Linked DNA regions of Caenorhabditis elegans. The protein of the gene in region 2 purifies or fractionates together with the protein of the main gene of each other region. This does not show direct contact. Each region holds a gene or a part of one and is shown on either strand. Other genes may lie near its edges.

Region 1 (4,819 bases), on a different chromosome or scaffold from region 2:
AGATTAGAAAGTTCAAATAATTCAAAGTTTTTCTCGCCAAAAATGTTTAACTTATTTGTAATTTACTTTCGCTAATTTTTCAATTTTTATTTATTTGAAATAATATTAGAATCAGAACAATTCTTTTTCCCAAGAGTTAGTGAAGGAGAGGATTGTCTGAAAGGCTGAATCACGGTATAGGACGATAAAAATAAAATTAAAAAAGTTAAATCAAGAAAACACAATGACATATTTGCATGAAATTGAGAATAATTCTTCTATAGGGAACAATGCGTTCAGAGATTTTTCACGTTCTCCCCCTCAGCCTTGTATTGCAAATGCCCGACACTTTTCCGATTTTCATATTGTTCCGTCTCGGGAAAATATTCACGCTTCGCACGTTTCGATTTCTCTGTATATAGCTTCCTTCTTAATTCTTTCAGCAGTTTATTTTTCTTCGTCCAACATATGTTTGTGTAAATGTTCACAAGACATATCAGATTCAGATTGAAATCAGTGTAGCCATGGAGACCCAGCAGTGTGTTCTGAACAGTTCTTTCACAGGATTTCAAGGTCGATGATGTAGAAAAGGAAGAGTGGAAGCTCTGAATGAAAACGATACATAAAAATGACACGTTTTCACTTTTTCTCAGAAGAAAACGACGAAATACGATGGTTGTGGGGCAGACCGAGGAGCTGATAAAGATCTATTAGCTACGATCTTCTGATGTACCCCTTCACTTATTTTGTAAAAAGTTATGATCAGGCAGTGTTTATTATTTCAATGAGTCATTTTAAATTACATTAGAAATGTAGAAACATTATAAGATACAATGAAAAATTAAAATTAAAAAAGTTTAATTAGTGGAAGAGAAGGCGACGCATGTTCTGCACGGATCGAACTTCCTGAAATACAATATGTTAGCTCATGATATTTTTTGTTTTCATAAGAGTATTTAATTACTTACATTCTTGAACAAATTATCGTCCCAGGATGGGAAGAATTTCTTGAAAGTTGGTGGTTCTTTTCCTTGGAAGATCGTGTCAATAGCTGTTTTCTTGTGACGTGGCAACTTATCTTTTTCCAAGTACAACTTTGCAGTGTTTAATGCTTCTTTCTTCTCATTTGCATTAGCATTTGCTCCAACCCAAACGTAGATGGAATTCAAAGCATCCAAGATCATGACATCATCTCCATCAAGATCTTCTTGAGTGAAGTTTGCAATTTCCTCAACATGAAGAAGACCGCTTTCATCGGAAACCTGAAACTTCAATCTGAAAATTGCTCATTGCATCAAACCAACTTGGAAAAGGAGTGGAGTGAATGTGTTCTTCTTTTTCTCATCAACCCAATCACGGAACCATTGGGTGAATTGAGTAGATTCAGCTGATTCGAGAACTCTAGTAACTTGTGTCCAGCGGGGAAGATGCTGAAATGTGAAAGGAATTATTTTCGAAATAAAATAATTATCATACATGCTGTTTCAAATAGTTCTGCCCCCAAATAAGAGCCTTCGATCTTTCTTCAAGAGTACATTCATGTCCAATCCAGACGAAGATTCCACCATTAATTGCATCAAGAATGAAGGCATCCTGAATTAAAATAAAATTGTTTCAATTAAACTGATTCGGCAACTCACCTTGGGATCAAGTTGCTCTTTTCGAATATTTTCGCCTTGAGAAACCATGCTAACTTTAGCAGCACCAGATGCGTCGGAAACTCTGAAATAAATCAATTTTCAATAGGTTAAATAAATTCCCTTAAATTCCAGTCAAATTTCAAAATTGTCTTACTTCCAAAGTGTAATTTGCTCCGTAAGTCTTTTCCAGTAGTTATCATCGTCATCTTTTCCCTTTGACACCTTCCTAACGGACGAAACCCCACCAAAATAACTCCAGAATGTTGAATCATTATCCCATTCAACATCATCAAGAATATGAACTTTCGGGATTCCCATTCTTTCATGATCAGCAATATTCTTGGCACGAGCCATTCCCTTGATTCTTTCAAGTCTTCCACTCTCTGGTGGCATCCAAACATAAAGATCCTTTCCCAGATCCAAAATGAATACATCTCCCAAATTAAGAGAATTCACTTCACATTCCACCTAGAATTGTATTCTGTGTGCTTTCAATGTCTCTTATCTTCTATTTATTTTTCCTTACCTCCGTGCATCTCACATTTCGTTTTCCCTTACAATGGAACAAATGAGGTTTCCAGTTTTTGAACTGATCGTCTACATGACGGTATCCAGATTCATAACCACCAGATACATAACGAATTCCGTCAGGGAAATAGGACAAGAAGAGAGGAGATTCGTAGTTTTGAATTTCACGATGTTGGGTTGGAATTCCACCGAGAGACTGAAACAATCAAATTTTAAAACTTTCTAGAAGCATTTCTTACATCGTCAATCTCTACAGTCTTGATTGCTGCAACTCCAATTTCATCAGTCGATGCATTCTTTCCAAGCCAGAAATGAACATCCCAACATCCATCGTACTTTTGCTGTAACCATCTCTTTTCATATATTCTGTTCTATAGGAAAACATACGTAGAGTGCAATGTAGGCGTCTCCAATGTAAAACACACCATGATCAACCTCGGGGACCGGCTCCAACACAAATTTCTGAAATTGCGAAACATTGGAACTGATAGATACGTGGGGAGGATAAAGAAGATATTGGGGAATATTTTTGACACAAACAACTTGATATGACACATTTCAAAGTTCAAGGGTTTAAACGTAGGATGAGTAAGATATTAGTTTGTTGATGACAGTGCAAGATTTTAAAACTATAGACCACTTCCAATGACAACTAATTTTGAACACACAACATTTGTAATATATTTCAGAATATTTCACTTAAAATATTAGGAAATAATTGTGACTGTACCGTAGTTCAGACTAGATTTGACACTGTAAATGTTACTCCATTGACTACAAAACGTACATTAATTCTCCAAACAAGAAGCCCGTTCTTCTTTCCAATCTCGGCCAATGCTGGATCCAAGGATGTTCCTCCCATTGTAGTTTAGAACTTTTTTGTTGACCACCAGAATCAACAAGCAATGAAATGAGCAGAGAAAACGACCCTTCCGCATCCTATGGACCCGTCAGAAAGTGTAAAAAACGTGTGTTGTCTGTGTCTCTAATAATTCAATTGCTCTCTCACCAATTACTTTGAGCATTTTACAATGTGAATGGGCGGGAGACTGACGATTAACTTTCTTGTTTGTCTGTTTTGGATTTAGATTGTTCAGATCATTAAATGAAGCTGTGCAATCCAAAGGTTCACATGAACATAGAGCGATCAAAGTTTGAGAAGATTTGAATTTATTATGAAGTTTGACCATGAGCAAACCAGAATAACCATTGAAAATGTTTAAGTCACCAGAACATCCAGCTTTTCTTCAATCAATGCTTGAATGTCACACTTTGTTTTTAATTTAGAGAAAACCGCATCAAATTCCGTCAATCCACATCACTCCAACCCACCAATTCCCAACCCACCGCCATGCACACCAACAATAGTTCACGTGTAAACAAAAATCCTTCACATAACTCCACGCAGAACCAACCACCTCGAGTCTCTATTATGCAGCCCGCTAAGAACGTCCCAAAAAACTGAGCGTGTATTCTAAAGGTTTTTTATTCTCAAAATTAAATTGTTCCCCAATCCCAGGCCTCAAATTAAATGTACTATGTGCCAATATAAGATCTGTTAATGCTAATCGATTAGAACTAATGGGGGAATTGACCACAAATGAACATGACTTAGTCTGCTTGCAAGAAACATGGCTTACAAGTAAAACGCAAAACTCTATTTTCAATAATAAAAACTACCAGGTTTACCGTGCAGATCGTCCAGATGAACAAAGGGGCGGCGGAGTATGTACTCTAGTAAAAAATAGTATAAGCTGTAGTGTGGTTCTTGCAGAATCGAAACGCAAAGCTTTCGAAATATTGGTCTTAGATGTCAACGTCAATGTCACTCCACTACGCATAGTAAACATATATAGGCCTCCAACCGCATCTTTTCATGATACTGTGACTTTGTTGAATAAGCTCGAAGACATAACCGATCACCCGGGTCAAATTGTTATACTAGGAGATTTGAATGTTAGCAGTATTAATTGGAGTGGGCAAGATCCACAATCTGATACCCGATTAGGCACAATGTTAATAGAATTCTGCAAAACCCAAAAATTGAAACAGTTCGTAACCAACCCCACCAGAGCATCTAACATCCTTGATTTGGTCTTTTCTAACCTCAATGTTTCAAAAATAAAAATTTTTTCACCACTAGGAAACAGTGACCATCGTAGACTCCAGTTTAGTATTGATCTCCTACAGAAGCAACACACCGCCAGCAAGGAAGTTTATGATTTCAAAAATATTGATTGGAACAAATGTGTTCAGTGCATTGACAATATAAACTGGAATCAACTCTTTAGTGCTCACAATTCAGTGAATGACATGTTTGATCAGTTTTTAGCAGAAATGCAAAGCACTTTTGAACTCTCAATCCCGAAAAGAACTGTTAAAGCAGATGAGATATTCCTTCCACCGTACCTCAATGCACTGAGAGATTTTGTTGAAATTACTTATAGAAACGCTTTAAATTCAAGGGACACAAAAGACTTTCTGATTTATGTGGCCGCAGCTAAACGGTATAGGAAAAAATTACTGAAATATCGTAGAAATGTTGAGCTTAAGAACCTAGAACAAAGAGGGAATTCTAAATTCACACACGACGTAAAGAATTGTCTAAAGCCAAAAGTAGTTTCAGTTCCCTCTCTGACTAGCAGAGATGGGCATACCGCAAATACAGACAC
Region 2 (4,192 bases):
TATTTTATTTTGGTGGTCAAAAAGATACTTTATTGTCATATCCGAAAAAGATAAAACTCGGCCACGCTAAGACATTAATCGAAATTAAATTTCCTACAAAACTGGCTCTTTTGTAGATCTTTTTGAGACTGTCAGAGAAATATATATTGAATAAATGCAAATAAAGAACAACTAAACCAATAATTCACTTTACGACTAGTTTCACAACCTTTTAATTTTTTCCACAGATCGACTTTTGCTACATGGCCGCGGAGAAAAAAATCCGTGGCTTAATTTTACTATTCCATTTTTGCGGCCATGTAATAAAAATCGACCAGTGGGAAAAGCTGAAATTAAACAGCGAAGTATTGAATTTGCGAATGTTTACCTGAGGATGAGAAACAATAAATTCGAGATTCCTAGAGCCAGTTGAACGACAATAAAATAAATGAGCCAATACTGAATATGTTTAGTTAATAAATTTAATTTAAAAATTGGAGCCTACTTTTGCTTTGAGACCAAACACACGAACTGACACATTTGATAAATCTAATCCCGCATTTTTTCGATTAGTCTTTTGCATTCTTCAGGTTTATGTGTTTCACATTATTAAAATGTTTTTTAAATGAAAATCATATGCGTTTTTCTCACGTCGATTTAATAAAACAGTTCATTATGGCACGCTTTTAACACTTATGGAAAAGAGATCTCATAGTGATCATTTTGAGACCAGAGAACAGGACACAAGTAGAATGGGATAGGAAATAGAATGGTGCAGATATAGATTATAAATACAACATCTGATATGTAAGAAGGAACACTAGTAGAACACACGAAACAAATACATAAAATGAAAGTTAGGCTCTTTGAATAGTTTTCTGAGTTCCAAAGCTGAGTTGAGGTCTCTGTTGACTGATTGGGTCATTGTTGTTGTTTTTTTGGAGCTGGGTCAGTTTGGAGTCTTGATTCGAACTTGCCGGGATCTCATCTCGCAACTGGAAATAATTTGGAATATGGGCAATTTTTTATAAAGTTACCTGTACGCCACGCATCATGTACCACTCCGTCTCTACTTTCGGTCCATTGCGAACAACAAGAATTCTGAAAAGGGAAACGTATGAATTTAGAATCGAATATCGATTTCTAACCTCCAAGTGTCAGCAGCCAGTCGAGTATAAAAGTAAACCAATCGAGAAGCGAGCATTTCATAGCACAACTTCTCCTTCCGACCAAGAATATATTCGCCGATTGAGTCATTGAAAAGAAGGAAAGCAACACGAAAGACATATTTGAAGCAATTCTTTGATAAAAGTGATCCTTCTTCCAAGAAGCTTGTTTCCGTAACGTGGCAGTGATAAATGTCGCGAAGAATCATGGAGGACTGAAAAATAAATTTTAATTAAGACAAATAAAAAGATTCTAAAAACTACCATTCCAGCAATCAAATCATCTCGAGCACTATCTCCGTTACCAAGAATCTTGATCAGAATGTCTCGAACACTTTGCCATCCATGGTTTTCACTTGTACGGCGGAAAATTCTGAAAGTTAGTTTGAAAATATTGTGCTACTTTTTCAGAAGCCTACAAAATTTGGCATTTTCGGATTTTCCAAGCGATATATTGTACAGTCTCTCTGATGGATTCGTAAATTTTCAAATCGGAATGGGCGATTTTCTGAACTAGACGATCACCGAAGATAGTTATCATCAATTTTTGGGCATCCTTACTTCCATTGGACTGAAATTTCATATTCTTTCCAAAATATCTGAGCATTTCTTACAATTTCATAGAGGGATGAGGCGAAAAGTCGAAGACAAAGCACGTTTTTGACACCTCCAACACCATACAAGTCGTACATTTTGTCAAAACAATGGTTATTAGATGAATTTCCAGTGGGAACCGATTCCCATCCGTTTTGTAGATCTCTGAATAATTAAAAACGTACTTTTGTTGTTCTTTTGAAAAATCAAACTTTAGGAATAGATCGTCTTGATCCTCTGATGTAACTTGACTCATTTTCTCTTTCTGCAAAACCTGAGAAAAATTAGGGTTTTTTCAATAAGATTACAATATTTTCAATGAATGATCGAGTCAATCCATTTTTCAAACTCAGATTGATACCTTCGTAAAACAAAAAATTTATGAACGCTAGAACTGATATTAACAGACAATTTAACAACAAACAAAGAAAATAACAAAACAAATTCAATAACAAGGTTATGTCATGAAAGTTTATCCAAGCGATTTTTCACTTTTTCCAGTTCAGACTTCAGATCTTGATTCCATTCCAACGTTAGCTTATAAGCATTGACCCATTTCTTCGGTAAATCCCCATCCTCATCATCCAGTTGATTAAGCATTGATCCACTGACAACTGACGGTGTTCGGAGTGCTCGGGCACTTAGAAGTTCTTCTTCTGTCACTTCTGCCGTTAACGTTGGATTTGAGAAGTTGGCTTTCGAGTGATTGTTGAAAATGAATGATTTTTTATCTCGATTCACGCTCTCATCGAAGGATTCCTGATTCGGTACATATGTATTCGGTAGTGACGATGGTGGAGTTGGGTAGAGGTTTGTTGGATTGAACAAGGCTTGCCCAGGTGACGAGTAAATTTGAGGAGGAGGCTGGAAATTATGGTTTTAGAATATTTTATGATACATGCAATCTTACAATTCGAGGATTAAAATCACTCGGAAGATTCTTTACAGGCGAAATTGGAACAAAAACAAGAGTTGGAGTTGGTAGTAGAGTCACGCGAGGTCTCAAAATGTGACGTTCAATTGGTGGTGTTGGGTAGCAGGACGAGTTGGCAGATGATGACTGAAAAATTAAATAATTTATACAAAAGGTTTTAAATAACAATTGGGTATGTTTACCTCACAAAAAATTGTCTGATCGAAATCATCAAAATCAGTAACTTCATCATCAAGTTGTCCGTCGAAAGAGACGGTGAACGTTTCACGATGGAAGTGAAAAGCATGTCGAATAGTGTTCAAAGAGAGACACACCACGAATCGAAGAAGTTGTAGTAGAGTGTGGGCGAGCATTGACTGATCGGATGGTGAACTGGAGAACAGAGTAGTTAGCTGAGAAAGATATGATGGTTTCACTGAAAAATTAAGGTGATTAAAATGTAAACAAAAGTATAAAATCTTACTCTTTTCACAAACATCTCCAATAATTTTCTGGCAATCAGGGAATTCTCCGAATGGGTTTCCTTTCATATTTTTAATCAGATCAATAGTAAAGTCCTTCCATTTTCCATCAAAGATTTTAAGTTTTTTTGTGTTAAGCACATTGTCAATCATTTTGACAACGAATTGCTCTATTCGATCATCGTTGAGTGTCATTTCTCTGTTGTATGAACTTTCTGACATTACGGTCTCCACTACTTGTCTGAAAAATTATTCACTTTAAGGATTATTCGAGTGAAACGATACCTCAAATCTCCACTTGTCAATCGTTTTCTCATTCTTTTCCGAACCCCAATCATCCAAGCGTCAAAAAATGTCTTAGCACCGTCTGGCATCAATTGAATGAGACCATGCTCGAATACATGCTCCAAAAGATGCTCTTTTTCTTCACATGGGATTGTGAGCCATAATGAAGCAGGCGGACGTCCACGTTCTAATGTCGACGAAGTAATTGACTTCAGCCTAGCCGATCCACCGAACCATGTCGTATCGGTGTGAATTTGAAGATTTGAGTGAACTTCAGATGTTCGAAAGGCCTGAATCTGCACACTGCCAGTGAATTTATTAACATTTGTTGAAAGGATATGTCTGAAATGAAATAATATATTTCGTGTGATCAATTTGAAGAAATAAACCTACAGAAATAAATCTAGTGAAAGATTATAACAATATTGTACGAACGCATTTCTTCCATCTTCTAATTCTTCTCTTGTCACATAAATATTCCTTTTCTGGCAGAGAGTAGACAGGCGATCTCGAATTTCCGTGCTTGAATCATATGGAATTCTAGTTACTTTTTTGAAGAAAACATTTCGAAGTGGCGCAATCATTCCGTCTTCGTATAAATCAATCGATAATCCATTTTCATTTTTTAATCGGAACACTTTTTGACACATTTTTTCCGTTATGGCCATCACATTCTCAACTCGGGGCTTATTTGAGACATCGGATCGCTGTGTGATTTTTGGAATGTCAACGTCCCTGTATTCTAATGTTCTTTCATGAACTTTCTCTAAGAT

The links.
Region 1: the proteins of F59A3.12 (region 2) and gsnl-1 fractionate together in Caenorhabditis elegans (co-fractionation; one large-scale study listed by BioGRID). This does not show direct contact.

Annotation. Positions count from the first base shown.
Region 1 is NC_003283.11:9,495,295-9,500,113, reverse strand, and holds gsnl-1 (Gelsolin-like protein 1), read right to left. Parts: upstream 3,073-4,819; 5' UTR 3,010-3,072; coding exon 2,935-3,009; intron 2,610-2,934; coding exon 2,535-2,609; intron 2,489-2,534; coding exon 2,387-2,488; intron 2,344-2,386; coding exon 2,146-2,343; intron 2,088-2,145; coding exon 1,774-2,087; intron 1,702-1,773; coding exon 1,620-1,701; intron 1,573-1,619; coding exon 1,456-1,572; intron 1,410-1,455; coding exon 1,284-1,409; intron 1,242-1,283; coding exon 948-1,241; intron 886-947; coding exon 841-885; 3' UTR 738-840; downstream 1-737. UniProt on the Caenorhabditis elegans protein: Calcium-regulated, actin-modulating protein that binds to the plus (or barbed) ends of actin monomers or filaments, preventing monomer exchange (end-blocking or capping).
Region 2 is NC_003279.8:5,512,472-5,516,663, reverse strand, and holds F59A3.12 (MIF4G domain-containing protein), read right to left. Parts: upstream 2,014-4,192; 5' UTR 1,996-2,013; coding exon 1,952-1,995; intron 1,905-1,951; coding exon 1,760-1,904; intron 1,717-1,759; coding exon 1,565-1,716; intron 1,519-1,564; coding exon 1,410-1,518; intron 1,361-1,409; coding exon 1,128-1,360; intron 1,081-1,127; coding exon 1,017-1,080; intron 975-1,016; coding exon 837-974; 3' UTR 639-836; downstream 1-638. Other genes in the region: F59A3.13 (G_PROTEIN_RECEP_F1_2 domain-containing protein), read right to left, coding at 368-438, 485-562; F59A3.2 (SPK domain-containing protein), read right to left, coding at 2,202-2,603, 2,650-2,799, 2,856-3,088, 3,137-3,375, 3,420-3,761, 3,813-4,192.